2 linked regions of the Rhinolophus ferrumequinum genome follow. The protein of the gene in region 2 interacts with the protein of the main gene of each other region in a biochemical or structural test. Links are inferred from orthologs where the notes say so. Each region holds a gene or a part of one and is shown on either strand. Other genes may lie near its edges.

Evidence for each region.
Region 1: the proteins of MYH9 (region 2) and S100P interact in a biophysical measurement, tested with the Homo sapiens proteins (2 studies listed by IntAct). The link is inferred for Rhinolophus ferrumequinum from reciprocal best matches to the Homo sapiens genes MYH9 and S100P.

What each region holds. Positions count from the first base shown.
Region 1 is NC_046288.1:84,344,083-84,359,989, reverse strand, and holds S100P (protein S100-P), read right to left. Parts: upstream 6,627-15,907; 5' UTR 6,546-6,626; coding exon 6,408-6,545; intron 4,192-6,407; coding exon 4,051-4,191; 3' UTR 3,907-4,050; downstream 1-3,906.
Region 2 is NC_046293.1:10,277,848-10,293,839, reverse strand, and holds the start of MYH9 (myosin-9), read right to left. Parts: upstream 8,295-15,992; 5' UTR 8,111-8,294; intron 7,526-8,110; exon of another isoform or gene 7,418-7,525; intron 1-7,417. UniProt on the Homo sapiens protein: Cellular myosin that appears to play a role in cytokinesis, cell shape, and specialized functions such as secretion and capping. Required for cortical actin clearance prior to oocyte exocytosis. Promotes cell motility in conjunction with S100A4.

The sequences.
Region 1 (15,907 bases), on a different chromosome or scaffold from region 2:
GACTGGAATGTGACTATCCACTTGGCTCACGATGTCACTTCCTATCCTATATCCCCAACTAACCAATCCCCCCAGCCCGGCCCACTGCCTCCCTCTCAGCATGTGGATCCATTCTTTGTAGGCAGCCTCACCCACACGGACGCACAAGGTTGTTGAAGCAGCACACCCGTCTGAGCACCGCCTGGTAATCAAGCTCTGGATATTCTAGAAGAGCTGGCTGTGTGAGTTGGATGCTGACCTGGCCCCAGGGGGTTCTAAGGGAGGGCAGGCTGTGTGGAGAGAAGTCAGAGGAAGGTGGGGGAGGGTCTGGCTGGACATGTAGAGAGAGCCCACAGGGCCCATGGGGGCATTAGAGGTAGCCTGGGAGGGCTTCATGCAGTAGGGGTGTGGGACAGAAGAAGCACAGGGACAAACCAACAAAACAGTGAAGAACCCAGGAACAGCAAATAAAGAAATCAGCTGCAGCTTCCACCTCTCCCGTGCTGTGGGCGCTGCCAGCCCAAATGGGGAGAAGTGGGTTCAAGGCTCTGCTGAGATGTTACCTTCCCAGAGAGGCTCTCCTGCTTATAAAATAGCAGTGCCATCCACTATTTCTGTCCTTTCCATTTCTTTTCACTACCCGACGTGGGGTATTTGGGGTGTTGTCTGACTTCTTTCGGTCGAATGTCAGCCCCCTGAGGGCAAGGCCTCTGTCCACGTGTGAAATCCTGGCACTTAGGCCAGTGCTTGGCTGTCACGGGGTTGGTGCTTCTTAATACTCCTCGAAATGAGTTCCAATTAGGTATGTCAGTTTAATTGACACTTAATTGTGTCTGCTCACCAGTGCAGAAGAGAAGTTTCTCAGCCGGGACCTCAGTGTCATTCTTGACACCTGCCTCCTCAGCAGCCCCTCCCGTCCTTACATTGATTCTACCTCCAGAGCACACCTTGGACTCACCCAGCTCCCTCCAGCTACTCCAAGCCACTCGCGGGATAGTCCCCTCACTGGCCTCGCTGCTTGCAGTTTTACTCCAGTCTGGAGTGAGTGGGGTTATGTCAGTTCCCTGCTTACAACCGTCGAAAACTCCCTTTTCCCGCAGATGTTTTTATTTACTCATCAATGTTACTTAGCTCCTGCTGTATACCAGGCACTGTTCTAGGCACCAGGAGATATAGCAGTGACCAGACAGTCCAAAAGTTCTGCCTCGAGCCTGCTTCTAGAAGTGGAGATACACAGTCAGCAGGATAAATCAAATAGCATGTTACCTAGAGATGAGTGCTGGCATTTGTTCGACATTCATCGTTCATAGCAGACAGGGCACCTGACTTGCCGTGCTCAGCCAGGAGTTAGCCAGGCCATGGTGGTCCCAGCACCCACGGGCAACCCACCTGAGGAAGGTGAAAATGCACCATCCTTGCTGGGGGGACAGAGCTTAGCCAAGGACCAATTCTGCAAGTCATCAGCAGGGGGCGCTGGCGACAGGCAGAAGGTCAGGCTCCCAAGGCTGCTTCTGCCGGAAAAAATCAGAAACAAGCTACTGCTTGTTTTCCTAAGCATGATGGTGGAGACACTTGACCTGGGTTAAATACTTTGTTTTTTTTAAAAAAGTCTGGAAGCAACCCAAGTGTCCAGCGATCGATGAATGGATAAGCAAAATATGGTCCATCCATACAATGGACTATTATTCAGCCTTAAAAAGGAAGGCAGTTCTGACACCTGCTACACCAACGATGATCCTTGAGGACGTTATGCCAAATAAAATAAGCCAGACATAAAAGGACAAACACTGATTCCACTTACGTGAGGTCCCTAAGGTAGTCAAGTCACAGAGAAAGTGGACCACTGGTTGCCGGGGGTTGGGGGTGTTGGTTAATTTAATGGGTACCGAGTTTCAGTTTGGGAAGATGAAAAAGTTCTGGAGGTTGGTTGCACAACAATGTGAATGTTACAATACAATATACTTAACAATACTGAACTGTACATTTAGAAATGGTTAAGGTAGAACATTTTATAGTATATATTTTTACTCCTCTGCCCTAGGAATCCTAGGTTAAAAATGGAATTCATTTTGGGGAAAATTTCTGAGCTTAAGACAAAGATTTATGCATGAAAATATTAGCTGTAGCATACTTTAAAAAAAAAACCCAAAAAGTAAGAACGGTATCTTTAATAATGAGCAAAGAGTGGTACACTCATTCTAGTGAATTCTGTGCAGCCATTAAAAACTGCTAGTTAGAGGAGGGGGAAGAGCTTTTGCTTCACCAGGACCTGGTTGCCAGGTGCCTCCAGGAAGCTGTGACTCCAGCGGTGACTGTGGACTTCACCCACAGCGCTGCGCGTTCTGCATCCTCCTCGGGACGCCAAACAGAAGTGGGCTGACGGAGAACCACGGGAGGCTGGTGGCTGGGGCAGGGATCGCTGTCCAAGCTGAGGTGATCTCTCAGCTGGAGGAAGGGGTGCAGCCAGGATGAGATGAACTTGCACGGTCCAGGAAAGAATCTTCAAAGCAGGGCACTTGAATGGAGGCCGTCCTGTGGACTGACTGACAACAGAAAGACGGCCCTGTTGTCTTCACGAGGAGAGGCTGGGGCTTCTGAGGACCTGTCGGAGAGGCCCCAGGGACACTTGAAGGAAGTGGCATGTGGCCATTTGCATACTCCAGCAGTCTGAGTTCTTAGCTGGAAAGCACAGAGTCCCCCCCGTTTCTCCCCCCAGGCGATGATGTAGAAAAGACTTGTCTCCTGTAAGATGGTGAGAAGTGCAGGATGGCTGAGATCTGGAGAACTAGGCTCAGGACTCCGTAGTGACGGCCATGCTGCAAGGCTCCTGCGAGTTTTTCCACGTCCCCACTCTTTGCATCAATTGCCCAACTCCAAGTCTGGGGTGAGGGCAGGGTCTGGGGGATCCCAGGTCAGGTGATTCGCCCCAGCTATAAGCGAGGTCAGGGAGCAAGGGCCGTGGTGCTAGCCGCAGCTTCTATAGGCTCTGCCTCCTAACCAGGTGATTCGTCATTCACAGGATGGTGACTAATTTGTGAAGGAGGAAGGAAACAAAAACAATTTCCACTCTGGTCCACACTTCCAGCTCCCCCATGTCACATTCACTTGACTTTTCACACCTTATTTACATGTGTGTATCTGCTCCTATCTAACCTAACGCAACTCTCCCTCTTACAAAAACCCGAGCCATCCCTTCCCCGAGGGACAAACCAAAGGACAAACCAAAGCCTTATATCGGTGTGTCCACTGCCAAGTTCAGGATCTCTCAGTGGTGCCCATTTTTGCCCTGGTGATGTCTTCAAACATAAGAAAAGCCTTCACCTGTTGGGTATTCAAAATGATAAGAGTCTCAAAACCAGGTCAAATTGACCTACCACCCAAGACCCCACTTGAGTCACGTTGGTTGCTTTCTAGAGTTTCACAAAGTTGTGAACATCAGTGATGTGGCCAGCTGTTCACTGGTGGTGATTCTCATCCTCACAATTCATTTTTTCTCGAGGTCTATTACTGTGTTTTATGGTTTTGTGGCAAGAAGAAATAGTGTACCATTAGAAAGATGTTACCTGAAAAAAACGTGCTTGGAGAGATGGAAGATGGAGGCCCAGGGTTTGATGAGTGGTTACATGACTGACTGATTGAATGGATGGATACACATCCCACAATCCTTCCTTGGATCCACTCCAGGGGGCTCACTCTGTGCTGACGAATAAACATAAGCAGGGACTGTGCCCTAGCCATCAGCTGGCACAGGGTGGGCACTCAGGAAGTGGCCCGTGCATGGACTCTTACCAAGTGACCTGTGCTGTTCCATCTCCATTCTCCACTGGGCAGACAGTGAGCATGAAGTGACAGATGAGTGAGTTTGTTGGTGTGTGTGGGAGGGGGTACTGAGGCTTTAAGGAAAGAAGCAGTTTCTCTGAGACCAGGATCATTTCACGAGCATTTTATTTATTAGAGGGCCATCCGCTGGCTCAGCCCCGAGAAATAACTGCCTCCCAGGCCTTTCTGGAAGCCAGGGGCCCTCTCCTGGTGCCCTCTCCGGGAATCCGGGGCTACAGAGTATCAGTCAGGTCATGGCTGCTGGAAGTACTTGTGACAGGCAGACGTGAGTGCAGCCACAAACACTATAAACTCATTGAAGTCCACCTCGGCGTCTCCATTGGCATCCAGGTCCTTGAGCAGTTTGTCCACGGTGTTCTTGTCCCTTCCACTCTAGAGGAGACAGAGGACCAAGGTCAGCGATGAGGGTGCCTGTGCAGGGCCTGGGCCTCAGCCAAGCCGCACCCTGGGCAGAGGGAGGGAAAAGCGAGTTTGTCCAGCCTGTGCTGTCAGCCGGCTCGGCTCGTGCCAGAGCCAGCTGTGCGCAGCAGACCCGCTGCTCCTGGAAAGGACAGGCGCACTCAGAGGTCGCGAGCTGCTCTAGCGAATGCAATGCAGGAGAGTTTTTATTTTATTTTTATGTTTTGAAGGGGATTGTCTTTGGATTGTATAATGCGCTTTAAAATGATTCCCAGGGTACACACTCACTCGTGTTCCCTCTGTGTGCACCTCTAGCTTTGTGGGTGTTGCCTTTTTAAAATTCTTCCCGTCGCGTTTACCAAACACCCATCTCGTGCTGGCACGGAGCCAGCTGCTGTACATAAACCTCCTCTAGGCCTCACAAACACCAGGCAAGGAAGGTGTATCACCCAGTGTTACAGATGAAGAAATAAGGCCCAGAGGGTGGAAGGAGACACGGGGAAGAAGGGCGGATCTGGAGTTGAGACTAGGCCCAGAAGGACAGAGTCTCTGCGCTCCCCTCTGCTCGGGCACCCGGGTCGGACCTCAAGGACCCAGGTCTTTGAGAGGGCCAGGGGTGGGGGGTGGGGTGGGGGTGTCCCTGAGAGTCTGCTCACATGACAGTGCCAGAGCACCGTCTTCAAGAAGAGACCACGCACCACCACAGTGCAGATCCGAAAAGCAGCAGCAGGGGGCGCTGACGACCCAGGCCCGGAAGCGGCAAATTCTATAGTAATCAAACTGCGAGCGAACGGGTGAGGTGAACGCCTTGCAGCCATCAAAAGGGAGCTGCAGGACATTTGTAGCCGGACAGCCACCCAGTGTTTGTGAAGCTCCGACTGGGCCAGGCGCCGGGCTGGGCATGGAGGAAACGGCTAAAAGTGGACACTGCTGAGCGCAGTGCTTCTTCCACTTTGCCGGGCGTCAGCCTCGGCTGGAGGCTGGGCTTGTTGAAGGGCCTGAGCCCCCCCGCTTTTGCCAGGTTTCCCCTTGATTCTGATGGAACCCAAGTTTGAGAATCCCGGGCTTAGCTGCCGCTTCCCAGGACCGCGCGTGTGGGGCGGGCGTTCAATGAGCACTGAAGCTGGAGAATGTTTGTTATAACGTTAAAGTCAAAAGAAATGCACTTGCATATAAATTAGAAATTCATTCACATCAACTTTCACACGGGGAAAGGCTGGAAAGAAGAGGGAGAGGGAGAACTGTGCTGGGGTTTCTTTCCTCTACAGATCCGTATTTTACATTTTCTACTATAAACATAGTTAAAATAGAGAAAAGCAAATGAACTTTATTTTAAAAAATGTATCTCCACTGCATTCACATCTAGAGAAAGAGAAAAATACTGAAGTGCTCAGTGTCTTTGAACTGATACTTAAGGCTGAAAATGTCAACCTTGCATTTTCAGGAAATGCCTTAGAGGGCAGGTAGGTGAGTTTGGTGGGGCAGGGGTGGGGAGGGGGGGGGAGGGAAGGGACAGGCAGGCTGAAGGGGAGGGGAGCAGGAAGAGGGGCAGGCAGAGGAGGGCAGGCCCTTTGTTTAGCCTCCCTGGGGAGGCCCCCTGGGGAGGCTCCAGGCCCAGTGGCTCTGGGCAGACAGGTGCCAGGATGGGACGTCCTCCCATCCTTATTCCTGTCAGTCCCCCTAACACCTGGCAGCAGGGCACCTGGGAATGGGGGGTGGACAGCGAGCAAGCAGACAGTGGAGCAGGGATGTTTGTGACCAGCAGCCTTGGAGGGGGGCCTTTCTGAGGGACCAGCATGCCCCCAGCCTCAGAGATGGCCCTGGATCTGGTCCCTGTGCCCCCGCTCCCCATCTCCCACAGCTCAGGTTCCCATCCCACTCCCAACTAAATTGGGGCTCCCACCCTGTTTCAAGGATTGCCCTGGCCGCATCTCCTTCCTGCTCAGAAGCTCCAGAGTCCCCAGTCCCTGGGGCAGCAGATCTGTTTCTCAGGGACTGGAGCTGGTCTCCCCTTACTGCCGCTCTCCTTTAGAGCAGTTGGGTCCTGACCACTTCTGCCCCTTCTGCCTGCCATGCCCTTCTTTCTCCTCCCCCCACTGTCTTCCCTGACCCTCGTCTTGTCCCGGGAACCAGCTGGCCCTGCCCCAGGGGGAGCCCCCATCCTGTCCCCCAGGGCCCTGCGCCCTCACCTGCAGGAAGCCAGGGAGCTCTTTCTCCATGAGCACCTTCAGCTCCCCCTTAGTCAGGCTCTGCTTGTTCCCCTCGGCCCCCGAGTACCGGGCAAAGACATCAATGATCATGCCCATGGCAGTCTCCAGTTCCGTCATGGTGCCGGCTTCGGACCAATCACGTTGCGTCTCTGCACGTTGCTCCTGCAGGCTGCACTGGCCGAGGTAATGGCCCACCGGAGGGCTCCTGGTGCTTTATAAGGCCCAGCTTCGTATTGACACAGGGTGGGACGGACAGGGCTGGACTGTTCAACAAACCCTGCCCCTCCCAGTCTGCATTACTCAGTTCTGAGGAAGCCATTGTTGCAACTTCCTGGTTCCATTGTCTGGAACCTTCCCCCAGGCTAGGCCTGGGTGCAGGCTACCTTGGTGAGCCCATATTTTACTCCGCTTGCCTGTGTTTTGGGGTGGTCAGTGAATTACAATGGTGTCCCCCACCGTGGGGGACCAGTGGGGCCTCTGGGGTTCAGTGGGTGCCTGGTAGTGTTTGCTGAGTGAGTAATGAATGCGTGGACCTGTCCTCTAGCCCCTGTCCTTATGGTTATCAGATAGGCCTGGCATCCAGTGGGCGGACAGAGAAAGCGTTTCAGTTGTAATGTTGGAATGAGCAGCTGCTGTCACCTGCTTTTCAGAACACCCTGTGAGTCATTGACCATCTGATACCTTGGCCCGCTCCCCAGACCACAGCAGTTACAGGGGTGAGGCAGGGGGAAGCCTCCTCTGGGCCTCTGCCTGTCAGGACCACCCTGAGTGTGGGGTCTAGGTCACGTTTGCACCCCTCCCCCAGCTGCCACTCTCCTCTCCTTGGTGGTGCCCACACACGGAGGTGTTTGTCGCTGGGGGAGCCTGCAGGTCCGGTCCCTGGCTGCCTGACATGGATACAGGGCGAGAGCCTGGACAGAACTTGGAGGGCAGGGTCGTGGGGGGATGAAATCAGGCCACACACACGCGGCTTGGCACCAGCCTGGCACTTCACAGGGGCAGCTGAACTCTCAACAGCTGATTTTCCCTTGGCCATGTCGCCTTCTCCCAGGTTTCCCGCAAGGGAGGCTTATCTGGGAAAAGGGAAGGGCCAGCTCCACTCCTTTGCTGGGCAGCTCCCTCTTAGAATGACATTCCAGGGCCCAAGTCCCTGGGCTACCGCCTCTGGAAGGAATCCTTCAGCCCTGACCTTACGGTGCAGCAGAAGTGGGGAGCTAACCCTCACGCCTTCATTTAAACTTGAAGCTTTCACAACTGTGGGAGCTGCTCCCCAGCACCCTAAAGTTTCACCAGGGCCGCTCCTGCCGGAGTAACTCACCAGCAAGCCCTAAGGGAACGGTGCGGGCCCTTTGGAGCCCCTACTTGGAGGATGGGCCGTATTCCCAAGAGAGGGTTATACTGAGACCTGTGTGTCAGACACCTCCTTAGAGGACAAATAAATGGTTCTGACACCCGTTAAAACAGAAGGAAGATGCTCAGGACTTTGCAGTAGGAGTCACGACTATTGAAATATGGGGGAGACCGGGCTCAACTCTGGGTAGGACAGGGACAGCTGGTCATTTATCACCAATAGAGGGGGTCAGTGGGTGGAAAATGACTAAGAGGAGATGGCAAGGATTGGGGGATTCTTGCTAGTGACAGGCCAAGGACTTACACGTCAAGGCAGGCTGAAGACAGGAGGGGGAGGAGCCCAAGGAGGAGAGCTTGGAGGAGCCTGACTCAGATTTGCTCCAGGAGAGAGTCCGTCAGACCCAGAGGGCAGCTCCCAGACCTGCTGGCGGAGGACCTGGGACAGAAAAGCGTGGGCCGGCCTGGAGCTGCCTCCATCTTGGTCATGAATGTGTGTTTTTTCCAAAGTTTCATTTTCTGACTTGTTGCAAAAGTCAAAGCAGGCCTACTCAAAGACCTCTCTTGGTGGAGATCTTTGTAGGGATTAAAAAAAAAAAAGTGGTTAGATCACCATCGATAGAGCGAACATAAACAGAAAAGAATAGCCCACTAATGACCTCTGCCAGCAGACAGTCTCCATGTGGGCAGATAACTAATATCCCGGACCAGGTCTTAACTCTATAAAATTTAACAGAAACTATTTGTCTAGAAAGCTAGTTTCATCCCAAAAGGAGATTGTCAATTGCATTTTGCAAAAAGGTCTTCTTTCTATCCCCGACCACGTTGGGGTCATTTTTCTTCCCACCCTGCAGGTGTGGGCACAGTTGCTGTTGCCGGGGTCTCCTCTGCAAATTCTGTGGGGTCCTGGGGTAAAGGAGCATCAGCAAAGAAGCAGATCGGAGAGCTACAGAACCTGGAGGGCTGTCATCTTCATAGCCCACACCTTCCAGAGCTGGGAAGGGCTGGTTACTGGACCAAAATCTGTGTGCCAGACGCTTGGAAAGGCCAAAGCTCAAAATAGCAGCGTTTGGTGTAAGGAAAGTTTTATTGAGAAGACGCCAACTGATGGGAGCGCTAGCGGTGCCTCAAATCCATCTTGCTCGCTGGACCCGGCTGAGGGTTTTTAAGGGGCTGGGGGCACAGATGTGCGGAAATGCTGAAGGGGCAAGTTTTCATGCAGGACCTTAGAACAGGGCCTTTTACACTAAGGAGTGTCAACAACGGGTCTTCCTGGACAGCAGATCCTTGACTTCTGAAAGAGTTCTTGTGTTCAAGTTCCAGGTTTGTCCCAGTCCTCTGGTTCCGTGGGGGTGGGTGGGTGAGACGACTTTGGTTCTGGGTGCAGCTGGAGGCCCAAGTTCTCTCCCTTGCGCATGCTTCGGCTGCATGACCCCTGGTCCTGGTCTGTTGTCTCTGAGAAAGAACTCAGCACCTCATCAAATAGGATAAGGACCATTCTGAGCTGCTTCTGTGGTTATAGGTGTAAGGCTTGCGGTGAGATAATGAGGCTAGTCAGGCGGGTTGAGAAAATTAGTGCTTTATTCTGCGCTTCCGGGCGAGGTTCACCGGTCTGCAGATGGGGGCCAGCGAAGTTGCACCCAGGGTAGAGGGAGGGAGGCATATATGCGGTTTTTGGGGTGGGGGTTTGCTGTGTGAGGTGGCAGATGAGCAGGGCCCCCTAGCGCAGATGGGGCAGGAGCGGCTGTGTCTGGAGTTGCTTATCGCACCAGTGGTCTGCTGCCTTTTCTGGGAAACTCCAGGGGCCTCAGTCTCTGTCATGCGGGGAGGGGTCTGACTTGGCAGAGGGGTATGACTCGGCTCCCGGCTGCTTTGACCATGCCCGTAGCTGACCTAACAATAGGGTGTCCCCCGCTGGCTCCAGCGGAGACAGTCTGGACGGGCAAGGAAAGCGCTTCTGCCTTCAGCACGCCCGCCTCCCCTTCCCCAGCTCACTCTCCCCCATGTCATCTAACAACTGGTGCGATCGCAGAATGGAGAAGTCAGAGAACTTTGCCCTCAGCAGGGCCTCTAGCCTTCCCGGGCTCCTGCGCCCAGTCCCCCACTGCCTGCGGGCACCATGCATCTGGCCACCCAGACACCTGGGCGCCGGACCCCTCCCACGTCCAGTGTTGAGAGATCAGAGGAAGAACTGGAATTACCAGTTTCTTCCACATTACGCAGAGTAAAGAGGAACCACTGAACACAAAGGGGCCAGGTGATCGCCTCGCAGGAGGCCGTGTCCAGGAATTAAAGGGTTGCCCTGCTTCTGCCAAGGGGATGGACGGGCGGGAAGTATCTCCTGCGGGGCTGGGCCTGTGGTGGGATGGAGGCTCTGGGACAGCCGTGGTGTGTGGTGGGAAGGAGAAGTGCGGCCTGGCGGGAACGCTCCCTAACCTGTGGAGTCTGGGCAGATGAGGCGTCTGAGGAGGATATTTGTCTCAGCAAACATGCCCGAAGCCCCCTCGTGTGTGGTCCCAGGTCAGCAGAGAGCCCAGCCAGCCAGGCCCCAAACCACGTTGGTGCAGCAAGTTCCTGTGTCACCAGGTCCCTGCACTGGGCCAGGGGAACACAGTTCCTGACCTCAGGGGGCCCCAGCCAGAGAGGGGGACGTGAGGGAGAGGTGACTGGAGGAGGGGAGAAGCAGAGGGGCAAGGAGGACCCAGGCCACACACAGCAGCTAAAGGATGAAGTGGGGCTTGCTGCTTGCAGGACGCAGTGCTGTGGGGCGTGGGGCAGCAAAGGCCCCCGGGCATGAAGAACTGACACTCTGGGGACGGAATGTGGTGTCGGCTGCAGGCCGGCCTCACCTGGACCTTGTCCCATAGGCCTGGGCCTCCCAGCGCTGGCTGCACTGCAGAGCCCCTGGGTGGCTTTCATGCCAGCTCTGTCTGAGCCCCAGCCACTCAGAGCTGCCCGTTTCTTAGGGCTGGGCTGGCCCAGCGCCTCCCAGGTGAGCCTGCTGTGCAGCCAGCTTAGGACCAGCCAGCTATCTGGAGGCTTTCCTGCTGGGAGAGATAACCGGATTGCCCTTTTGAAGCCCACTCGCTAGACGGGGATGAGGAAGGTGAGGCTGGAGGCAGGGAGACCTCAAGGAGGCTGTGCAGGAAGGAGCCCTCCAGCCACACCTGGTTCAGGGGTCCTGCAGCCACCTGCCCAAGGGACATCTGACGGTGATGGAGGGAGCAGAAAAGGAAGAGGAGGGGGCCTCGCTATCTGTGCAACCTCCACACTTTGCAGAAGGGGAAACCGAGGCTCAGAGCAGGGTCGTTGGGGAACAAGCCCAGGCTCGCTGACTCCTGTCCACTCTCATTGCACAGACAGCTAGCTCCAGGAGCAAACAGGTTTTACCCTTGATAGCGTCTCAAATATTTGGTGAGGGAGGAGGTTGAGAGAGTTGAGAAATTGAGTTTCTCATGCATGAGCTGAATGGCAGGGGTCACGTACCATGAAGCTGGGAGGGCAAGGACCTTGTTTTGCCCTTGGCACACAACCCCTGGGGAAGGCGGCAGTGAGCCCTGGACCCCAGGCGGCCGTTTGCAAACCTTTCTCCAGGCTAGAACGCAAGCCGAGTCTCCCTCGCAGCTTGTGGCGGCGGCGGCAGCCCTTGGGGTTTCCTGGCTTGCATCTGCGTGGCTCCAACTCCTGCCTGCATCACATGGCCTTTTTCCCTCTGTGTTGTGTCTCCTCTTACCATAAGGACACCAGCCATATTGGATGAAGGCCCCTCTACTCCAGCATGCCCTCATCTTCACTTACTCCATCGGCAATGACCCTACTTCCAAGTAAGGTCCCTTTCTGAGGTGCTGGGAAGGACGTGCATTTTGGGGGACACTATTCAACCCAGCCCACTGGAGCAGGGCTCAGTTACACCACCCCGTTGCTGGACCATAAACGCCCTGCAAGTGCAGAAAGCCATAGGTTGACTTCACTTTGATTCCTGCTCTGTCTCTTATTTGTTGTGTGACACCTTGGACAAGTTCCATAACCTGGGATCAATTTTCTACGAAATGGTGATAATAATCGTGACCCCTTGGTGTGACCCCTGGAGAGCATTCAAAGGTGTGGAGGATGTAGGATCAACTGCAGTGGGGCACGGAAAGCCCGGGAGCGGATGGAGACCCCACAGCACTCGGCACTAGTTCCCAGCCCTCTCCCTTCTTCCTTCCGTGTCCCTTGTCTTCTCTGCACCACACGCTCTAACGCACAACTCTGTCTGGACACTGAGAAGCAATGACATGACAGTGTCACGCCAGAGGCCCGTGGGAGCCCCGAGGAAGGCTTCCGGAGGACGTGCTGCTTAAGATGAGACTGGCTGAGACAGAGGGGCTTCTTTAGACCAGGGTCTTCAAAGTGTGGTCCCCAGGCCAGCAGCATCTGCGTGCTCGGAATCAGAAACCCTAGGGCAGGGCCCCCGGCAGCAAGGAAGGCTGGGAGATGGAGTGGGACAAGCTTCCAGGTGATTGACACATGCTCCAGTGTAAGAACCACTTGTCTAGACAAAGGGAGGGCATTCGTACCCCGGGGACCAGCCTATGGAGAGGACTGGAGCTGGGAGAGAGCGGGCACATTTGCAGACTGGAGCAGGCGTGTGGCAGAAGCTGTAAGGACGCAGCTGAGTGGAAGGTGGGTGAGGCCGGGCAGGCAGTCAGGAGAGCTGGGTGAGGAATTTGGCATTTGCCTGGAGCTGGAGATCCGTGACCAGAGGTGTGGGTGGAGCCCCTTTGGTGATGGCAGTAAAATAGTAAAGGCGGGCCAAGGGCCTTGAGGGAGAAAGCCCATCCACTCAGAGAAGTCGCAGCTCGGAGTGGCCTCCTGCCATCTTTGCAGGCCTGGAGTGTCCCGTGCTGCAGCCTCCGGATGCAAGGGGCTTCACTTTCCCACCTTAATAAACCGTTGCTGAGTTTTCTTCTCATCAGGACTTCCAGGTGACAGTGTACTGGAAAACCCATGACAGTTTGGGGAGCTCAGAATAAAGTCCATGCTGGTTGAGGAAAAGGGGACTCAGGTCACATTTCTACATGTTCAAACTCAGGCCTGGCTGACTCCAAACTAAGGTGTTAATGTCCTTCAAATGTCCTGATGGGATCCTCCTACCACTAGCATGAATTCTGCCCTTGAAGCAGAAGCACAGGGGGTCCCAGGAGGTGCTGAATGGTGGCAGGAACCTGGGCACGGGGGCAAGGCTGCCTGGCCTTGGCCCCACTGACCTGCTCAGTGACCCCAGGGAGTCCCTACCCCTGCAGGACTACTTTTCTCATCTGTAAAACGAGGGGTTCAGATTAGACTTACCCGCAGGTCTCTGAAGCCCACATTCTCAGGCCAACATGCCTGTATTCCTTGGGGTGCATGATGAACTAGGACACCAGGATTTTAAAAGGATGTCTATTTAGACCGAGAAATTTTGAGCTAAAGCAGGAGCCGTGTGGTGTACTCCTATGGTCTCCACCTCCCAGGCAGCGCCCCAGCTCGCCTTGCCTGGCACGGGCCCATGTCCCCAGGGCGGTTCTGCCCACCCCTGGGCACCAGAGTGTTCCCAAGCTCTGGCCAGCTCCTGGCCCAGCTTAGCAAACATCTGGAGGAAAACCCTGATGCTAGGTGTTGGCCACGTGGGGAGCCAGATCTGGCCCCAACCCTCCATGCACGGTGCAGAAGGGAGCAGGGCGGGGGTGGAGGGGTGGGGGTGGGGGGAGAGAGGCCAGTATGCAGCCTGGGGGTGCCATGGGCACTTGCCCCCGCACCTTGGGAAACACCAGAGCCAGGGGCTGAAATTCTGTTCCCAGGAGAGCTGGATTGGAGAAGCTGCCTTGGACCTAAGGCCAAAATGGGTCTTATCCCTCCTCCTCCCAGAATTGAGTCTGGAGGTGCAGACTCTGCACCGGGACAGGCCTGCCAGCTGGAGAAGGGGGCCCGGCCACCGTCCCCCCTAATCTCAGATTCATCGACAGCCCCAGCTGTGTTCAGGGCAGTGCCGGAGGGGTGCGCCTGGAGGTTCTGCACTTCGTTACCCTGTGTGTGTTCCCCATGTGCCCCCACCGGACACTGTGAAGAACAGTGGAAGGAAGTGCTCAGCCACAGTTCATTCCCCTAAGTGCCCAGCATTTGCTCACACACTTGTCACTTGTCACCTCAGTTTCCAGAGGTATACAGACAGAAACTGCCAGGACCTAGACCCTGGCGCCCTTTCCAGGCTTCCAGGAATGACTGCAAAGGGGCCGAATGGTTTTTGAAGGCTGTTACCATTTTACCTTTAATCTTTATTCAAGTCTTTTATTATAAAATGTTTATAATTTTCTTCATTAGTTTTTTTAAATATAGGGAAGTATGAAGTGTGACCAAAAAGTACAATGAACGTTTAAATTTTAACAATGTTACGGTAAAAGACACACTGCCATTAATCCCCCTCAAAATACTCCCCCTCACTTCCAACACACTTATCCCATCTTTCTTGCCACTTTCTGAAGCAGTTCTGGAAGTCCTCTTCCGTGAGTGTCTTTAGTTGCGTTATTGTAGCTGCCTCGATGTCCTGAATCGATTCAAAACATTTACCTTTCATGGTCATTTTGACTTTGGGGAAGAGCCAGAAGTCGCATGGTGCCAGATCCAGGGAATAAGGAGGATGAGGACACTCTGTAATGTTTTTATTTGACAGAAATTGCCGTACCAGAAGCAATGTGTGACACGGAGCCTTTCTGTTGTGATCACAAAATACGGTGAGTGCTGCTGCCGAGGGCCATCCAATGGAAAGGCAGGGACCTTCAATATGGGAAGCAGCACATTGAACCTTAGTAACAGTAACAGTATGTGACAAGTTTCAACTTGTTCAGTGCAGTCAGTCAGGCGTGAGCTCCGGTTGAGAGGTGTGTTTTAAAGTGTGCCATAAAGCATCTTCCATCATGACAAGGCTCTGTGTCACACATCGCTTCTGGTACAGCAATTTCTGTCCAACAAAAATGTTACAGTGTGTCCTCATCCACCTTATTCACTGGATCTGGCACCGTGTGACTTCTGGCTCTTCAAAGTCAAAATGATTCAGGACATGGAGGCAGCCACGACAGCGCAACTAGATACTCACGAAAGAGGACTTCCAGAACTGCTTCAGAAAGTGGCAGGAATGATGGGATAACTGTGTACGAAGCGAGGGGGAGTATTTTGAGGGGGATTAATGCCAATGTGTCTTTCACTGTAATAAATTTTTTAAATGTAAACATTCACCGTATTGTCTGATCACACCTCGTATAACAACAAAAAATGGACCCTGGTAACATTGGACTCTGCTAACTTGTGTTGACATTAACAAATAAGCCTCATGGCTCACTTCACACCCTTGCCCTTCCATTTTCTACCACCATACGTTTCCCTAACGCAGAAAGACCTGCGTTGTTGACCTGCGCAGACCTTCCCAGGGGTCCCCATCACTGTTTCTCGTTTTCAGCAACCCACTCATAACCTCACTCCAAGTGTGGGACGTTCCTGGGCAGTACAGGCCTCGCTTGGGAGCGCGTTAGAAATACTGAGCGTCAGGTGCTGGACTCAGGACTGAGCCCTGCATGTCCGCAAGACCCCAGGGGTTCCCATGCACTTGGGAGTTTGAACAGCACCACTCCAGGGGCTCGGACAGCCAGAAGCCGCCCCCAGTGTGAGACTTCTTCAGCCAGTGGTGTATCATTTTAAAAATTAAAAATATTTTTCCTGTCAGACATTCAAATAAGTTGACTATTCAGAATGCACCAGTACCTCCCTGGGCATCAGGTACTCTAGAGGACTGTAGGTCCCATGGCACAAATACCCACAGTGGAGAATGGACACCTAAGTTCAAGTTTAAAGTCTTCTAAGTCCTAAGACCCCACAACCATTTGCCTCCTACCTGCCTCATCGCCTCCCTGTTCCCTCTAAACACCCACAAACCCTCTCCAACATGCCACATGGACTCCTGGGGCCATTCTGGACGTGTTCCGCGCCTGGGGTGCTGTTCGGGTTGCTGTGCTTATGCTTCCGGGCCCAGACCAGGAGCCACTGGGTCTGAAAAGCCTTCTCAGGCTCAGCGGGCTCCCTGCTCAGTGTTCCCACCACAGTATAAACCCAGGGTCTCC
Region 2 (15,992 bases):
GCCGCCGACACTGACACTGCCCGGCCGTGGTCTTTTCACCTGCCCTCCCTTAGGACCAACCCCACACATTGGAGAAACGGCCAGTGGAGGTTAGAGGTGAAGTCCGTAGCCGAGGCAACACTATGGAACAGGCAGCCTGGCTCTGAGCAGCCAACCGCACTGTGGAGCAGGAGGCCCCCTTCCACCACGGCCCCGAGCTCTCTCCTCCTTTCATTAATGCTCGGCCACTGGTGAGAGGAGGGAGGAGGGGCTCGGGGACCGGTCCAACCCCTCACTATCAAGCCCAGGAGTGAAGGGCATCTATAAGGTCACACTGCAGTTTGAATCCCTGCTCAGGCTCCTTATCTGTAACACAGCGATAACTTCCTACCTCATGAGAATGAGGTAAGACAGGAGATAAGTCCTGTAAAAGCGCTAGCACAGGGCCTGGTACTTAGCAAATGCTCAAAAGTTGACTTGTTTTTATTATTATCACGGCGGACTTCCCCCAGGCATCCCGATTCCCAGGCCAGCGCCCTGCCATTGAGCCTCTTCCTTCCTTGCCCACCTTCCCTCCTCCGCCTCCCAGGCAGGTCGAGCCCCCAGAAAGGTTGCTCAGAGTGCTCAGCAATCCCCAGTCGCTCAGGGCAGCACGGGCCTACTTCTTGGGGCAAATCCCTCTCCCAGTGTCCCTCTTAGAGGGTAAGGCTCCTGAGGACAAGGGCTGGCTCTCCGTCCTCCTCGTGGCCCCTGCAGGCCACACAGCAGGACCCCAGGAGTCTTTGTTATTGACCTGGCAGAGAAATTTGGGATCAACACCCTCATGCGCAATGGGGTGGCTCTTAAATATTACAAAATAGGCAGAAACTTGAAAATGGTTCCCTGCCACCACCTTTCTCACCCTGAGATTCCCAGACAAGTACCTTGCATCCACGGTTTATAAAAGGGAGAGATCGTTAACTAAATGTCACTCCAAAGCTTTGGCTGCCGGGACCTCCCAGTCCCCAGGTTTACGGGCAATGGCGCCAATGAGACCTAAACACCACTCGTTCAACAAGGACCAGGCAAGAACCTGGGAGCCAGAGAGGAAAAAAGATGCTGCCTCTGACCTCCAGGTTCTCACAGTCCATTAGGTTCTACAATCTTCTCCCCCTTCCAGACCAGTTAGATTAAGTCACCCCGACTGTTCCAAACGCTTCGTCTTTATGTTTATCAGACAGGAAGCTGCCTTGTCCAGCCCAGTGACTTTGTAAAACACAGGAAATGCGGCAGCTTTTAAACACAGACAACTCTAAATAAAGGTGCCTCTCTCTCCGGCTTGGGGACAGCCTTTTTTCAAAGGCTTGAACCAGCTCAGACGAAACAAGTTGAACTGCGCTGTGTGGTGGGAAGGATGCAAAGGTCGCAGGCCTTGAAAACCTCAGCATCCAAGCCCAGGAAATCTTCCAGCAGGCCCCTCAATCATTTCAGTCCCCACATCTTGTTCTCAAAGGGACAGGGTTATTAGACAAATTTAAAATCCTTAAAACCCGAACACCTATTTCCTACCACCTGATGATGTTGGTGATAACATGAAAAAAGGAGGAAGAGGAAGGGGAGAAAAAAAGAACTGGAACAATTTGCATATATTTCTATGCGAATTATGACAAGTCTAAAAAAGCAGCCATCTCCACGTGCAGATGAGGAAACAGGCTCCAGTGTAACAGGTGGTAGGAGAAACGGCAAGAATCTGGTCCCAGGTCCCCCTGACCCCAAAGCCCGTGTTTGGTTCCCTCTACTATGAGTTTTGTACTGAAAATACAATAATCAATCATCCACGGCATTAAATCACTTAAAATTACTAGCAATCAGGACTGGCTCCTGGACAGTGGAAGCCAGGGTCGCTCTCTGTAAGCCGCCCCCCCCCCCAACCCCGTGCCTGGCTCTACCCCATGTGAAATATTGATTTTTGAGCTGTGGGAACTTTCAGCCTGAATGGCCCTGTCCAACTGGAAAGAGTTCAGAGAAACCCGAAACACCTCCCACCCCATTTCTTAACCCTCGTGCCCCGCCACCAAAAAAAAAGAAAAAGATTAAGGGTGTGGAAGAATAGACTCTTGAGGAAAGATTAAAGGAGTTGAGTATGTCTTGCTTGGCTAAACAGTATATAAAAGGGATGATAACAGTTCAAAAACACTTTTAAATAAGGCCACATGATTTTGAAAGAAAGGCAACAGGGTTGAGTGAAACCAGGGGCCAAAAGCTTTCTTCTACCAACTAACAGATGAGCTTGGGCAACCACTCCTCTAACTGGGGGAGAAAAATTACACTATCCCTAAGATCCTTTCCAACTCAGGCATTCCCTAATTCTAAGCAAATTCAGTAGGGAGGGTTTTACTGTCCTGTTGATTTTTCTTTTAGAAAAATCACTTAGAATTAGAGTTAAAATGAAAGGAAAAGAAATCTAAGACACAAGTTCCCAAATGTAAATGCCCATGGAAGTGATAGGGGGGCCTCCCTTAGTCCTCCGGGCAGTACTGTAGGGCCCCAAGGACCAGGACCCCTGAGAAGCACCAAGGCAATGATGAAGGTGGGGGGAAATCAGCTCCACCTTCAGCTTCCCCACAGGCCGAGGCCCAACCTGCCCAGGCAGGAAGCCACACCCTTCAGGGGCAACTTCCGGAAGGGCCTGTAAAGCTCCCTCCAGCCTCAGGGGGAAGGTTCCCGGTGGAGCAGCCACCAGAGCTGGGGAAGGAGGCAGCTACAGAAGGCGCCACCGCGAGACCCGGAGGCTCAGGCTGGGGAGAAGCTCCCCAGAAGGCCTTGTCCTCAGCCAAAGGCCAGCCACGAGCCTCTTGTGGGCTCAGCGCGCTGTGCCCCATTCTGGGTGCTGAATCACTCCAGGCTGGAGAAACTAGTCAGCAGAATGGGGGCCTGAGAAATTCCAACAGAGGCCTGCCTAAGTTCCTTTTTAAAGAGAAATGCATCAGACACAAGAGGGCAGCTCCCCTCCTGCTTCCCAAATATTTGGTACCATCAAAGCACGAAGTGGGGGCGGGGGTATAGCCAGCCTCCAGCCTTCAAACCCATGTGGTGGTAGGCCCATTTTAGACCCAGGCTCATTCTGTATACGCATGTGTGACTCATGCCATTCCTCCAGGAGGCCCGGAGGCAGCCTGGCAGGGACACAGGCCTGCCCAAGACCCTAAAGGGGTCTTCCGCTGCTTTTGCCACGGAAAACAGCCCACTCAGCAGACAGCAGAGCTGGCAGCTTCTCCAGCACCCACATCAACCAAGACTAGACCGCCTTCCCTGAGAGAATGGAGGCCCCCCCCAATTCAAAATACCTTTCTGATCACATTTTCTCAGGAATTTGGGCTTTTCCACTGTTCTTAATACACAAAAACCACAGGCCAGATGTCTGACGGATAACTGGGGACAAAGTGGGAAGGGGCACACCAGTGGTTGCAGTGACCCCAAGTTTAGAGGACCCAAGAGAATAAAGGCCTGGTGTCGACTTCTGTTCAGGGTGGGCTCCCCAGGAAAAGACCTCGGGGGATCTGGAGCCAGGGGAATTGTGGGAAACCTGGCAAAAGGTTATCCCAAAATACTTTCCAGACACACTGCAGGTTTCCTCTTCTCATACAGCAAAGAAAAAGCAACCATCTACCATTTTCCAGCATATGAGGGAATAGATCAGAGTAGACATTTGTTTAAGGGGTTACTCTGGTGATATGACATCATGGAGGAAAAAACAGTACCCAAATATGTTCCAACCACAAGAACAAGTCAGTCCATTTTTAAAACCTTTCCTCCTTCCTTGCATACAGTAAGCACTCAATATGAAACTTGGAATCTAGAGCAATGCATTTGAAAGTTGAGACCTACGAGACTGGCCAGATAAGTAATAAAAATACGAAACTTTTAAGTTTTTGACTATTTTAGGGAAATACGTATAAAAAGGCATTTAGTGAAATGAAATGCTCAGACACACACACCCCGGCCTCCACTCCTGCTTCCTGGGTCCTTTCTACAGACAACCACTATTCCCAGGGTCTCGGCATCTTCCCGTGCAGAGCTCAGGTGACATAGCATATTTCACACAAAGGGAACACCATCTATACTACTTTATCGTGTCGAGTTTTTTCCACTTACAACATACCTTGGAAAGCATGCCATATCACTACATCTAGATCAGCCTTATTTTTTTCAGGGCTGTAAGGATTCTCACTGTACAGGGGTGCCATGATCTATTGGACCCTTTTGATAGACAGTGAGCTTGTTTCCTGTCTTTGTCTACGCCAATGCTGCAAACAATATCCTCACACCTTTTGCACATTTATCTGTGGGATGCATTCCTAGAATTCAGACAGAAGGACTATGCTTTGACAGATACTGTCAAACTACCTGCAAAAAAAGACAGTTGTTACCACGTATGCTCCTCCCATCAACGGGGCATGAGAGTACCTAAGAAACTTGGAGAAATTAACACGCCTCAATTTTTCAGTTCCCTCGTGCTCTTGTGCATAACTAGTGAGCACATAAACTGGTGTGATGTCTTCATACGCGATAATGGCACTTGCTACCGAAATCAAATGTTTCCCCAGCCAGAGCTGGAAGTCAGGTCTCCAGATACTCAACTACAATGACCTTTCCATGCCACCCTTTGGCCGTGTCCTAGATCATGGGAAACCATGTTTTAGAACTGAAACCGCAGTTGCTTTGCACACCCTCTGCCCAGGCCAGGGCCCTGGACCAAGGATGCTCAGCATGAGCTCACCACCAAGTGAATCCAAAAGTATCGGCAGATGGGCCCCAGAACCACTTTTGTTACCACTTGGGCTTCTGCACACACCCAAGCACACCTTTTCAGAAGCAGAAAGATCACTGAGCCAGGAAAACCATCTACCCCTCCTCGACTGTTTCCTCCCCCTGACAACCCACGGAGTTAAAGCTGAACATTTATATATTTTCTTAAAAAGATCAGGCCCTTTACATACCTTATTTCTTTTTGTTCTCGCATCTAACCCTGCACGGTAGATGTCACGATTCCCATGTTACGGGTAAGGAATAGGAGGACACAGAGGACCCTGAGGCTCGGGAAGGTTCTGTGACTTACCTAAAGGGTCGTAAAGCTAGGAAGTGGTGGGGTCAGGATCGGAACTCTGCCTAGTTCCAAAGCTCAAGACCCCACTCTTCCCAGCTCTCAGAGCGGAATTCTGTAAGTCACAGGAGCACTGCTTCCCGGGGGCAGCCAGGGTTCCATTCTGCTGTCACCAGAGGACTTGAGCCCAGGGGCCCAGGGCACCAAGGGTTAAGGCTCATCAAGGGTTAAGGCCGGGAGGCAGAGACTCTGGGGCTGCACAAAGAGAAATTGCACTTCCTGCCCCTGCGGGCAGAGATGCTGTTTTATGCTCAGCAAATTAGGATGTTTGTTTAATTAAGACGACACACAGATTTTGTTATTCTAAATATTTCTGGAACACGATGCTTGGGAGGAAGCTGTTAAAGCAAGGGTTTTTTTTCCCCCTTTGCTTTGGGTTTCTGTCTCCCCCTCCAAGAGAAGGGTAGGGCCCGCCTCCGAGGGAAACAACAGCCAACCCCTCCTCTCCTTTTGAAATAAAGATGTCAAGCTGGTAAGGGCTGTCTTAAGCACTTTACTGAAGGATTAGCTACAAGAGGAAGTGAAGAAAGCTCAGCTCGCCTGGTTTCTAGCAATACCCTACCAGGCTACACAACAATGCTGCATTTTTTGAATGTGCTTTTCTCCTTTTAAAAAGCTAACAGATCCTTGTTTTGTTTTTTCTGGAGCAAGAACAGGCGGAAAGGCAGGCTGTGATTAACATGCGACCTTCATCCTGCAAGAGGGAAGTTGTCCCATCTCCAGCCCCTTAGGTTAAAAAGTTTAAAAATAAAGAACAGAAAGCCGGGGCCCTGACCCTCTCTTTCCTCTCCCCTCATGCGCCCTTCTGACAAGCAGCCCCACAGAATACACCCCTCAGGCTGCCCCTCCCCAAGCAGAGCCTGCCAATGGGGCACCTGGATCTGCCCATAAGCACCGCCAGGACTTGCTGACAGTGAAGAGTAGAGCTCTTTGGTGTCACCCCGCAGACATCTGGGGGGCACAGCGGCTCTCAAATTACATCGAGCAATCTCTTGATGCTTTTAATTGCCCCTCAATTATCCACTAAATGAGTCCTCACTTTCCAACACCCAGTGCTTGCCCTCAGTTTGCCAAACTTGCAATGTGCAACTTCCTCGAAGCAGCTTCCCTCCTGGCCCCAGACAGAAGTGGCCCCTCTCCGGAATTCCTCGAGTCCTTTGTCTGTGGCATGCTTGGGACCCTCATCACAGGCTGCCTTTGTACTTCAGTCATTGGGCCACTATTTCCCCTTGAGGAATGTAAACTCTCGAGCCTCAGGATGGGCTGGCTCTTTTCTCCCAATCCCAACGACTCACAGTACCTTTCTGGGGTCTCTCTCATCTTCACCTCACAGGACAGTCATCTACAGATTTGTCTCCGCTCTCTCCTAAGCGTCCAAGGGCAGGGGCCAGGTCTTACTCAACCTCACACCCCCACCACCTGGCAGAGTCCCCAGCACCGAGAAGCCAGTTAAATATTTGCTCAGTTACACATCTGTGTACCCACCTCTCACCCCTAGCAGCCTGGTATATAAATTGACTAATATTAATCAAGCGATTGTCTAAACAGGCCTGAAAGCAGCCTCCCTCCTTCCCAAAAAGGAAGTCAGCCACCAGGTGAGTTACCAGGCGGGCCTCAGACAGTGGGGTGAGAAACGGCCACAGCATTGCAGGAAGCCCGTAGGGCTCTCTTCTCCCTCCAGTCACCCAAGTTCCTCTGAAACCCTGTAAAACCCAGGCCAGGGCGCAGTGGACCGCGAGCGGCCAGGCCTCTCGAGCGCCCCGAGGAGGACGCGCCGTCCCCAGGACGTGGGACTTCCCAGGAACCTTTCTCCTCACACGGGCTAGGTGGGGCCGCAGACAGCAGCCCTGGCACTCACCCTGCCGCCACCTCAAGACAGCCGGCAACCTTCTCCTCGTCCGTTTCCATGCGAAACGGTGGGGCTCGCTGGGGGGGGAGGGGCTGCGGTCCTGCCCTGGGGGTGGCCCCAGGACAGCACGGCGCGAGCACCCCCGCACAGGGAAGTGCGGGTGGGGGTGTAGAACACCCTGGATCGGGCCCACACAGCAACCATGCAACAGCCCAGGCCTCGTCCTCGAGGAGCAGCACCCAGCTCCCTCCACTCCCACCCGGGCCGGACGCCCCCAGGTGCGGCGCAATCAGGTGCGCGCCTGGACCCAGCCGATCGCTGCGGGCCCTCCTCTCGGGGCAGAAGTCAGAAGTCAAAGGTGGAAGGGTTGTGGGAGAGCGGGGGAGTCTGTCCTGCCTGGCGGCCCGGTCCCGCGGGGTCGCCCTTCCCCGCGCACCCCTCCGCACCTCTCTCGGTCCCCTCGCGCCCGCTCGCTCGCAGCCCAGCGAATGAGGAAGTCGGGAGCGGAGGGCGGAAACTGAGCCGAGTGCAATGTCTGCAGCAGATTGTCCGATTCTGACTCAGGAGGACGCCCTGACAGCTGCCAAACGGTCCCCGCCTGCCCGTTACCTCCGTTTCGAAAAGGCCTGGAAACTTCCAAAGCAGCCGGAGCCCCGTGCCCCCCACCTTGCCCCCACCCGTTTGGGTCGAAGGGACAGCGGCTCCCCGGAAGGGGTTAAAAAGTTTGCCCAACTTGGGAACTGGGCGAGGCGAGGGCGGGGCGCGTGCCCGGGCAGCAGGGGGAGGTCGAGGCTCCTGGGTGCCCCGCCGGAGGCGTGAGGCGGGCGGGGGTGGGGGAGACCGAGGGTTTCCGGGGAACGCTGGCCCCGAAGCCTTCCTCTGCTCCCCAAGGCCTCGCTTCCAGAGGCGCTTTCCCCGAGAGTCACGCAGGGGTCCCGGCGCCCCTCAGGGAAGGATGCGGTATCCCGGCCCAGCCCCGCCGCGTTAGCGCCGGACCGCGCCAGTAGCCGGCCGCGCGGAGGCCGAGAACCACACGTCGGTCGTTTCGCCCCACACGCCGCGAGTCCAGTAGCCGCCGCCCCCGCCGCCGCCCCCGCCCGCCTGCCCCGGGTTGGGACCGGCCGGTGGGGCTTGCTCACCTGAACCTGGATCTGCCCCGGGGAACAGGCGCTGCTTCTCCCGAGAGGGCTTTCTCGAGCGCTCTAGCGACGGCGGGGTGGGGCGAGCGCGCGAGGCGGGAGCTGCAGCAGGTCAACCTGGCTCAGCCTTCCGTGCCCTGCCCAGGAACCGCGGTGATCTGCGCGCCTCACCGCACCCAGCTCGGCTACTCGCCGCCTTCCCGCCCCGCCCTCTCAGCCGCTCGCCCATTCTCCGCGGCTCCGGGGCGGAGCCTGAAGGACGCCCCCGCCCCCTAGCTGTCTCACCCACTCCAGCTTGTTCCCACTCTTGATGGACAGATATGTTAGCCTGTAAAAAGGGATGGGCGGAGCCTATGGGCCCAAATAAGTGGGGATTCATCATCCCCCCACCACCACACTCTCCACCTTCCTCCGCGCTTCCTAGGCGGGAGCCCCGCCTCCTAGGGCGGGTCCAACGGACAGCCAGGTTCCAGGAGGACGATTGACACAGAGAAAGTCCAATGAGGAGGAGGAGGCTCGCAGGGATTTTTTTTTTTTTTTTTTTTTTTTTTGGTGCATTGCCTGGGCGGGGTCGAGGCCCGGCGGGAGTGGACTGGAAAGGTCCGGGATTCTGACACCCCGCCCCCGCGAGCTGTTTTCCCTGTCCAATGTCATCCTACCAGAACAGAAATTAAGTACCATATATGGGAAAAGTGCTATTTTACATAATTATTATGGCCTGTGGGGCGAACAAGGACTCTGCCCGGGATCCGTTGTGGAAGCCCTGAGTTCGATTCTATAGTGTGGGCACGCTGCCGTCTTTCAGCCTCCAAACCTTTGCTCAGACGGGTTCCCTCTGTCTGGAAGGCACCTCCAAGCCTCTCTTTACCTTCATGTGATTAACTCGCACACTTCCTTTTAGGTATTTGTTACAAAATGTTTTCTTGGTTTTTTTTTGTTTTTCAGGTAGGCAAAGAGTACTTTTTTTGTTGTTACTGCCCATTACAAAATTAATTTTTTTTTAATTTTTAAGAGAATTTTTATATTTATCTTTTAATTCACCTGGAATTTATTTTTATTTTGGAGTGAGGAGGAAATCGAATACAATATTTGCAACAGCCAGTTGTCCACACACCATTTTCTCCACTGATTTCAGGTACCACCTTCATCACCTATCCAACTCATACAGCATACGCTTCAATCTGTTTCTGAGTTGTATCCGTTGATCTTTCTGTGTGTTCCTGAGCCAGTTCCACAATACTTTGATGACAGTAGCTTTCTAATACATTTTATATCTAAGAGGGCAAATCTCTCATTACTCTTTCCTTTTGGACTCTCCTTCCTATGACGACTAAACTCTTCCAAATAAACTTCAGAAAAAGTTTATGACCTAAAGGCAAAAGAAAACTGGAAAAACATTTTGCTACGAAGAATTACTACCAACAATATATAAAAAGTTATTCTCAGTCCATAAGAAAAAGCCCAAATACTTCAAAATAAAAATGGCAAAAAAAAAAAAAGAAAGAAAAGAAAAAAGAAGGGAACAGGCAATTCAAAAAGAAGAAATCTAAACTGCCAATAACTATAAAAAAAGAAAAACAGTCATCAGAAATGCAAACAAAACGACATAGGATGCCATTTTTCACCTATCAACTTAAAAGAAAAGAATAAAAATGCCCACTGTTGGCCAGGTTTAGAGATATAGATGGGAAAGTAAATTAATCAATTTTCTTTTAGAATCCATCAATAAAAAATTGGAAAAGTGCACAGATATGGGTTTAAAAGTTCTTTTCAACATTGTTGATAGTCATTAAATTTTATAAGTGTACAATAGATTGATTAAATAAATTTTGATACATCCATATGTTGAAAAATACCCAGAAATTCATTAAAATTTTAATGCAGATTTGTATTTACTGATTTAAACTATACTAAGCAAAAGCAAATTTTAGAATGCTATTGTAGCAGGATTTAATTTATTTTTGTGTACTCTGTGTGTGTCTGAGAGAGAGCGCGTGAGAAGTTGAAAAGGCTTTATAACAGTGTAAATAGGGCAGAAGAATTGTGACTGATTTTTTCTTTTGCTTATCTGTATTTCTATCATATATGTCTTACACAATTTTTCCAAAAATGGAAGAAAAACACTCACTTCAATGTCACCTCTTCCAAAATGTCTTCCCCGACCCTCCAGGGATCCAGAACTAACAGGAGGCTTGGCATAGAATGGTCCTTAGTGAACGCTTCAGCAGGACTCAGAGAGTACCTGTTTCCTTATCTTCAAAATGGGCGTAATCACCAGGCCTTGCCCAGCCCTCAGGACTGTTGGGAAGAGCCCAGAGACTTGGACCTGAAAGCAGTGTGCACTACGACAGAGCATTATCTTCTTGTTCTTGTTGTTGTTGTTAGTACTCAACAGAGTGTTATGGAGAACAATCATTTCCATTTTCTTCAGGAGCCCCAGCCTCCTAGCACCACCCTCTTCCAGGGAAATGAGGTCACTAAGAAGATGGAAGTCCTCTGTTGCCCGGGCCCTGAATTCTCTCCTTGCCATCCACTAGCCTAGATGCATCCATAACTAAGAAAGCCCTCCTACTTGCTGTCCAGCCTCACCATTCCCCCATCTCCCAAGAACCTGCACCCTTGATAGTGTCTATTCTTGTAATAGTTTAAAAAATATTTCATCTATTTTGTCTGAGTGTTAAAATAGTATTATGGTTGGTATAGAAAATACTAAAAAGAAAGAAAATAAAAATCTCCCAAACCTTACCACCACAATATAAAAATTATTAACAGTTTGTTATTTCCTTCAAATCTTTATATAACCATATTTAAAATAAAATTATACAGTCACCTGATTTATTATAAAGGTGCCCCTGCAAATAAGTATGGAAAAGATGGGTTTTTTTTGTTTGTTTGTTTTTAAAGATTTTATTGGGGAAGGGGAACAGGACTTTATTGGGGAATAGTGTGTACTTCCAGGCCTGTTTTCCAAGTCAAGTTGTTGTCCTTTCAATCTTAGTTGTGGAGGGTGCCGTTCAGCTTCAAGTTGTTGTCCTTTCAGTCTTAGTTGTGGAGGGCGCAGCTCAGCTCCAGGTCCAGTTGCCGTTGCTAGTTGCAGGGGGCACAGCCCACCATCCTTTGTGGGAGTTGAACTGGCAACCTTGTGGTTGAGAGGATGCACTCCAACCAACTGAGCCATCAGGGAGCTCAGCGGCAGCTCAGCTCAAGGTGCCTTGTTTAATCTTAGTTGCAGGGGGCGGAGCCCACCATCCCTTGAGGGAGTCGATGAATTGAACTGGCAACCTTGTGGTTGAGAGCCTACTGGCCCATGTGGGAATCGAACCGGCAGCCTTCGGAGTTAGGAGCATGGAGCTCCACCCGCCTGAGCCACCGGGCCGGCCCAAGATGGTCTTTTTAATGAATGATGCTAGGTAAACTGCACAACCACATGTGGAAACATGAATCTTGACCTCTACCCTCATACCACTGACGGAAATAGTTTACGATGGATCAGAGATATAAATGTGAAAAGTAAACAATAAAACTTCTAGAAGAAAGCATAGGAGAATATTTTCATGACCTTGAAGTAGACAAAAAATTCTTAAACAAGACCCCAAAAGTGTAAACCATAAGAGACGATTGTTAAGTTGAACTTAATGAAAATTAAGAACTCTGCTCATCAGAAGGCACATTTTAAGCAAGTGAAAAATCAAACCGCAGCCTGGGAGAAAATGCTTATAATACATAGATATAACAAAGGACACATATCTAGAATTTATCAAGATCACCTACGTTAACAAAAAGACAATCCAATTGTTTTAATGCACAAAGATTTGAATGAGCACTGTATAAAATAGAATATCTAATTAGCCAGTAAGCAAAAGAAAAAAGTGCTAAACATCATTAGTTATTAGAGAATGCAAATTAAAACCACAAAGAGATAGCACTATCCCCAACCAGAATGACTAAAATTAAGATATTATGTGTTGGCAAGAATGGGGAGCTACTGGAACTTTCATAAATTGCTTTCTACAACCACTTTGGGAAAGTGTTAATCCGTGTGGCTACTAAAGTTGAATATACGTGTAATTCCCTATGATCCAGCAATTCTACTCTTTTTTTTTTTAAACTTTTATTTATTTGTGTTTTTCCAGGACCCATCAGCTCCAAGTCAAGTAGTTGTTTCAATCTAGTTGTGGAGGGCGCAGCTCACAGTGGCCCATGTGGGGATCCACTGACAACCCTGTTGTTGAGTATAGCGCTCTAACCAACGGAGCTAACACCCACCTCCTCCCACACACACACAGCAATTCTTCTCTTGAGTCTATACCCAACAGAAACGAGTGCTTAGGCCAACTAAGGCATATACCAAAATGTTCATAGCATCTTAACGTGGCCGAAAACGAGGAGGAGAAAAGTCTATGAAGAGTAAAATGGATAAATTGAGTACGTTCATTCAACCGACTATCACACAGAAATGAAAAGAACAAACTAGTGTTATGTGTGAAAAACAGGATGAGTCAACTTTCCTTGAACTGCTGAATGGATAAACAAAATGTGGCATATCCATACAATGGAATATTATTCAGCAAATAAACAGAACGAAGTACCAATACACGCGGCAACATGGATGACCTTTCAATAACATTACGCTAAGTGAAAGGAGCCAGTCACAAAAGCCCTCATGTTGTATCATTTCATGTATTAATATATGAAATGTCCAGGGGTGTCCAGTTAGCTCAGTTGGTTAGAGCGTGGTGCTGATAACACCAAGGTTGCCAGTTCGATCCCGACATGGACCACTGTGAGCTGTGCCCTCCTTAAAAAAAAACAAAAGAAATGTCCAGAATAGGCCAATCTATAGAGACAGAAAATAGATTAGTGGTTGCGAGAGGCTAGGGAGAGGAAAGAATGAGACGTTACTGCTAAAGGGTATAAGGGATATTTTTGAGACAATGAAAATGTTCTGAAATTAGACCACAGGGATGATTTCACAACTCTGTGAATATACTAAAACAACAAACAAAACACACTGAATTGTATGTATACTTTAAAAAGTCACTTTACTTACATCCAATAAAGCTGTTATTTTTTTTTAATGGATGAATCTCAGACATACTGTTGAGTGAGAGTTTAGATATTAAAAAAAAGCAAAAGTAAATACTATATGATTCCATTTTATGCGACGTTCTAGAACAGGCAAAATCAATCTCTAGTGATAGATATTGTGCTCCTTGGTATTTCCCCAAAGGAGTTGAAAACTTATGTCCATACAAAACCCGCACAGGGATATTAATAGCAGCTTTACTCATAATTGCCAAAACTTGGAAGCAACCAAGATGTCCTTCAGTGGGTGATGGATAAATAAACTGTGGGACAGCCAGACAATGGAATATTATTCAGTGCAAAAAGGAAATGAACTATCAAGCCATGAAAAGATTGGAGGAAATTTAACTGCATATGACTAAGTGAAAGAAGCCAGTCTGAAAAGGCGACATTCCATATGTTTCCAACTGTATGACATTCTGGAAACGGCAAAACCATGGAGACAGCAAAAAAAAAAAAAATCAGTGATTACAGGGGTTGGAGGGAGAGAAGGAGGGATGAATAGGCAGAGTACAGAGGCTTTTTAGGGCAGTGAAACTATTCTATATGATACTCTAATGGCAGATATTTTTCATATTCTCCCCTCCTCATCACTAGATTTCTCCAGAGAGTGAGCAGTCTGCATCAGGTTCTCAGATACTTCACTTTGTTCTCACTCACCTCCGGCCTCTAACTCTCCATGTCACTGCTGTTCAGAGATCAGCAAGCTAAATGCCTCACTCAGGCCTTGCGTTCCCAGGCTGTACTGAAACTGCTCAACACCGCTCCCCCCAACACAGGCTTTCCCAAAACCCCCCAGAGAGACCAGCCACCTTCCTTGTTCTCCCTCTGATGATTGCTCCCCAGCCCGGTGGCCAGGGTGGGCATATCCCTGGAATGCACAGGATTCTAAAGGCATTGTTTCTTCCAGTTGGTTAGTATATGTGTTATATCTGTTGTTAAATACTTTAAATATACCTTTCCCTGAGGCTCGCATTTATTGAGTGTTTTACCAGGTGGCCAGCACTGTGCTAAGTGTTTTTGTGTAAGCATTATCTCATTTAAGCCTCACAATGCCACTGTGAGGTTAGATATGAATATTATCCCCCATTTTACAGATGAGGAAGCTAAGGCACAGAGAAGTTAAGTGACTTGCCAAGTTCATACAGCTTGGAAGTGGCACAGCCAGATTGCAGCCCATGTCTGCGGACTTCAGAGCCTAGGTGCTAACCACACTATGGCACCCACACTTCTCAGCTCTCTTCTCTTCTCCCTTCTCGGTCTGTACCCTCTTTCTTGGGCTTCTAATCCAATCCCCCACTTTCAACTGCAACATCTATGGGAGTGACTTCCGAATCCTTATCTCCAACCCAGCCTCACCCTGACAGGGAGTCTTTTATTTTTTAATTGTGGTAAGATACACACATAACATAAAATTTACCATCATGAACCATTTTTAAGTGTCCAGTTCAGTGGCATCAAGTACATTCATTCTTGTGCAACCATCAGCACTAAAACTTTTTATCTTGCAAAACTGAAACTGTATACCCATCACACACTAACTTCCTACTCCTCCAACCCCACCCTAACCCAGCCCCTGGAAAACCACCATTTTACTTTCTGTTTCTATGCACTTGACTACTCCAGGTTCCTCACATCAGTGAAATCAGACAGTATTTGTCTTTTTGTGACTGGCTTACTTCACTTAGCATATTATCCTCAAGGTTCATCCATGTTGTAGCATGTGTCAGAATTTGCTTCTTTTGAAATGCTGAGTAATATGCCATTGTATGGTACACCACACTTTGCTAATCCATTCATCTTTTGATGGACACTTATGCTGCTTTCACGTTTTAGCTATTATGAATAATGCTATGAACATGAGTGTACAAATATCTCTTCCAGACCCTGTTTTCAATTATTTTGGTTATATATTATTTTGGATTTCCTGGGTTATACGTTTGCTCTATTTTTAATTTTTTGAGGAACTTCCATACCGTTTTCCACAATGGCTGCACCATTTTACATTCCCACCAACAGTGCACAAGGGTTCCAATTTCTTCACATCTTTCCTCACCAATCTTTGTTTCCTGGGTTTTGTTTTGTTTTTTTGATAGTAGACATGCTAATTGGTGTGAAGGGGTATCTAATTGTGGTTTTGACTTGCATTTCCCTAATGATTACTAATTGTTGAGCATCTTTTCATATGCTTATTAGTCATTTGTATATCTTCTTTGGAGAAATGTCTATTCAAGTCCTTTGCCCATTTTTGAATTGAGTTGTTTGAAAGAAGAAAAAAGAAAAAGAATTGAGTTGTTTGTCTTTTTGTTGTTGAATTTTAAGAGTTCTCTGTATATTCTGGATATTAACCTCTTATCAGATATATGACTTACAAAGCATTTTCTCCCATTCCGTGAGTTGCCTTTTTACTGTTTTGATAGTATATTCTGAGGCACAAAGTTTTTCATTTTCATGAAGTCCAGTTTGCCTATTTTTTCTTTTGTTGCATATGATTTTTATTCTTTTTTCTTACGCTGCATAATTTTTATGCTAAGACAATCCATCCTAGACTAGACATAGAATATCTTTGAAAGGATACCCAAGAAGTGAGTAACAGTGGTTTTTCTTAGAAGAACTGAGTGGCTAGGAAACGGGTAGAAGAGGGAGCATTTTCACTAAAAAAACAAAACAAAACCTTTATATCTCTTAAATGTAGACTCATATGAACATATTATCTATTTAAATAAATCAAATTTAAATATGAAAACATAGGCTACAAATTGAAATGTAGATATAAAATAATACTCATTTTTTAAGT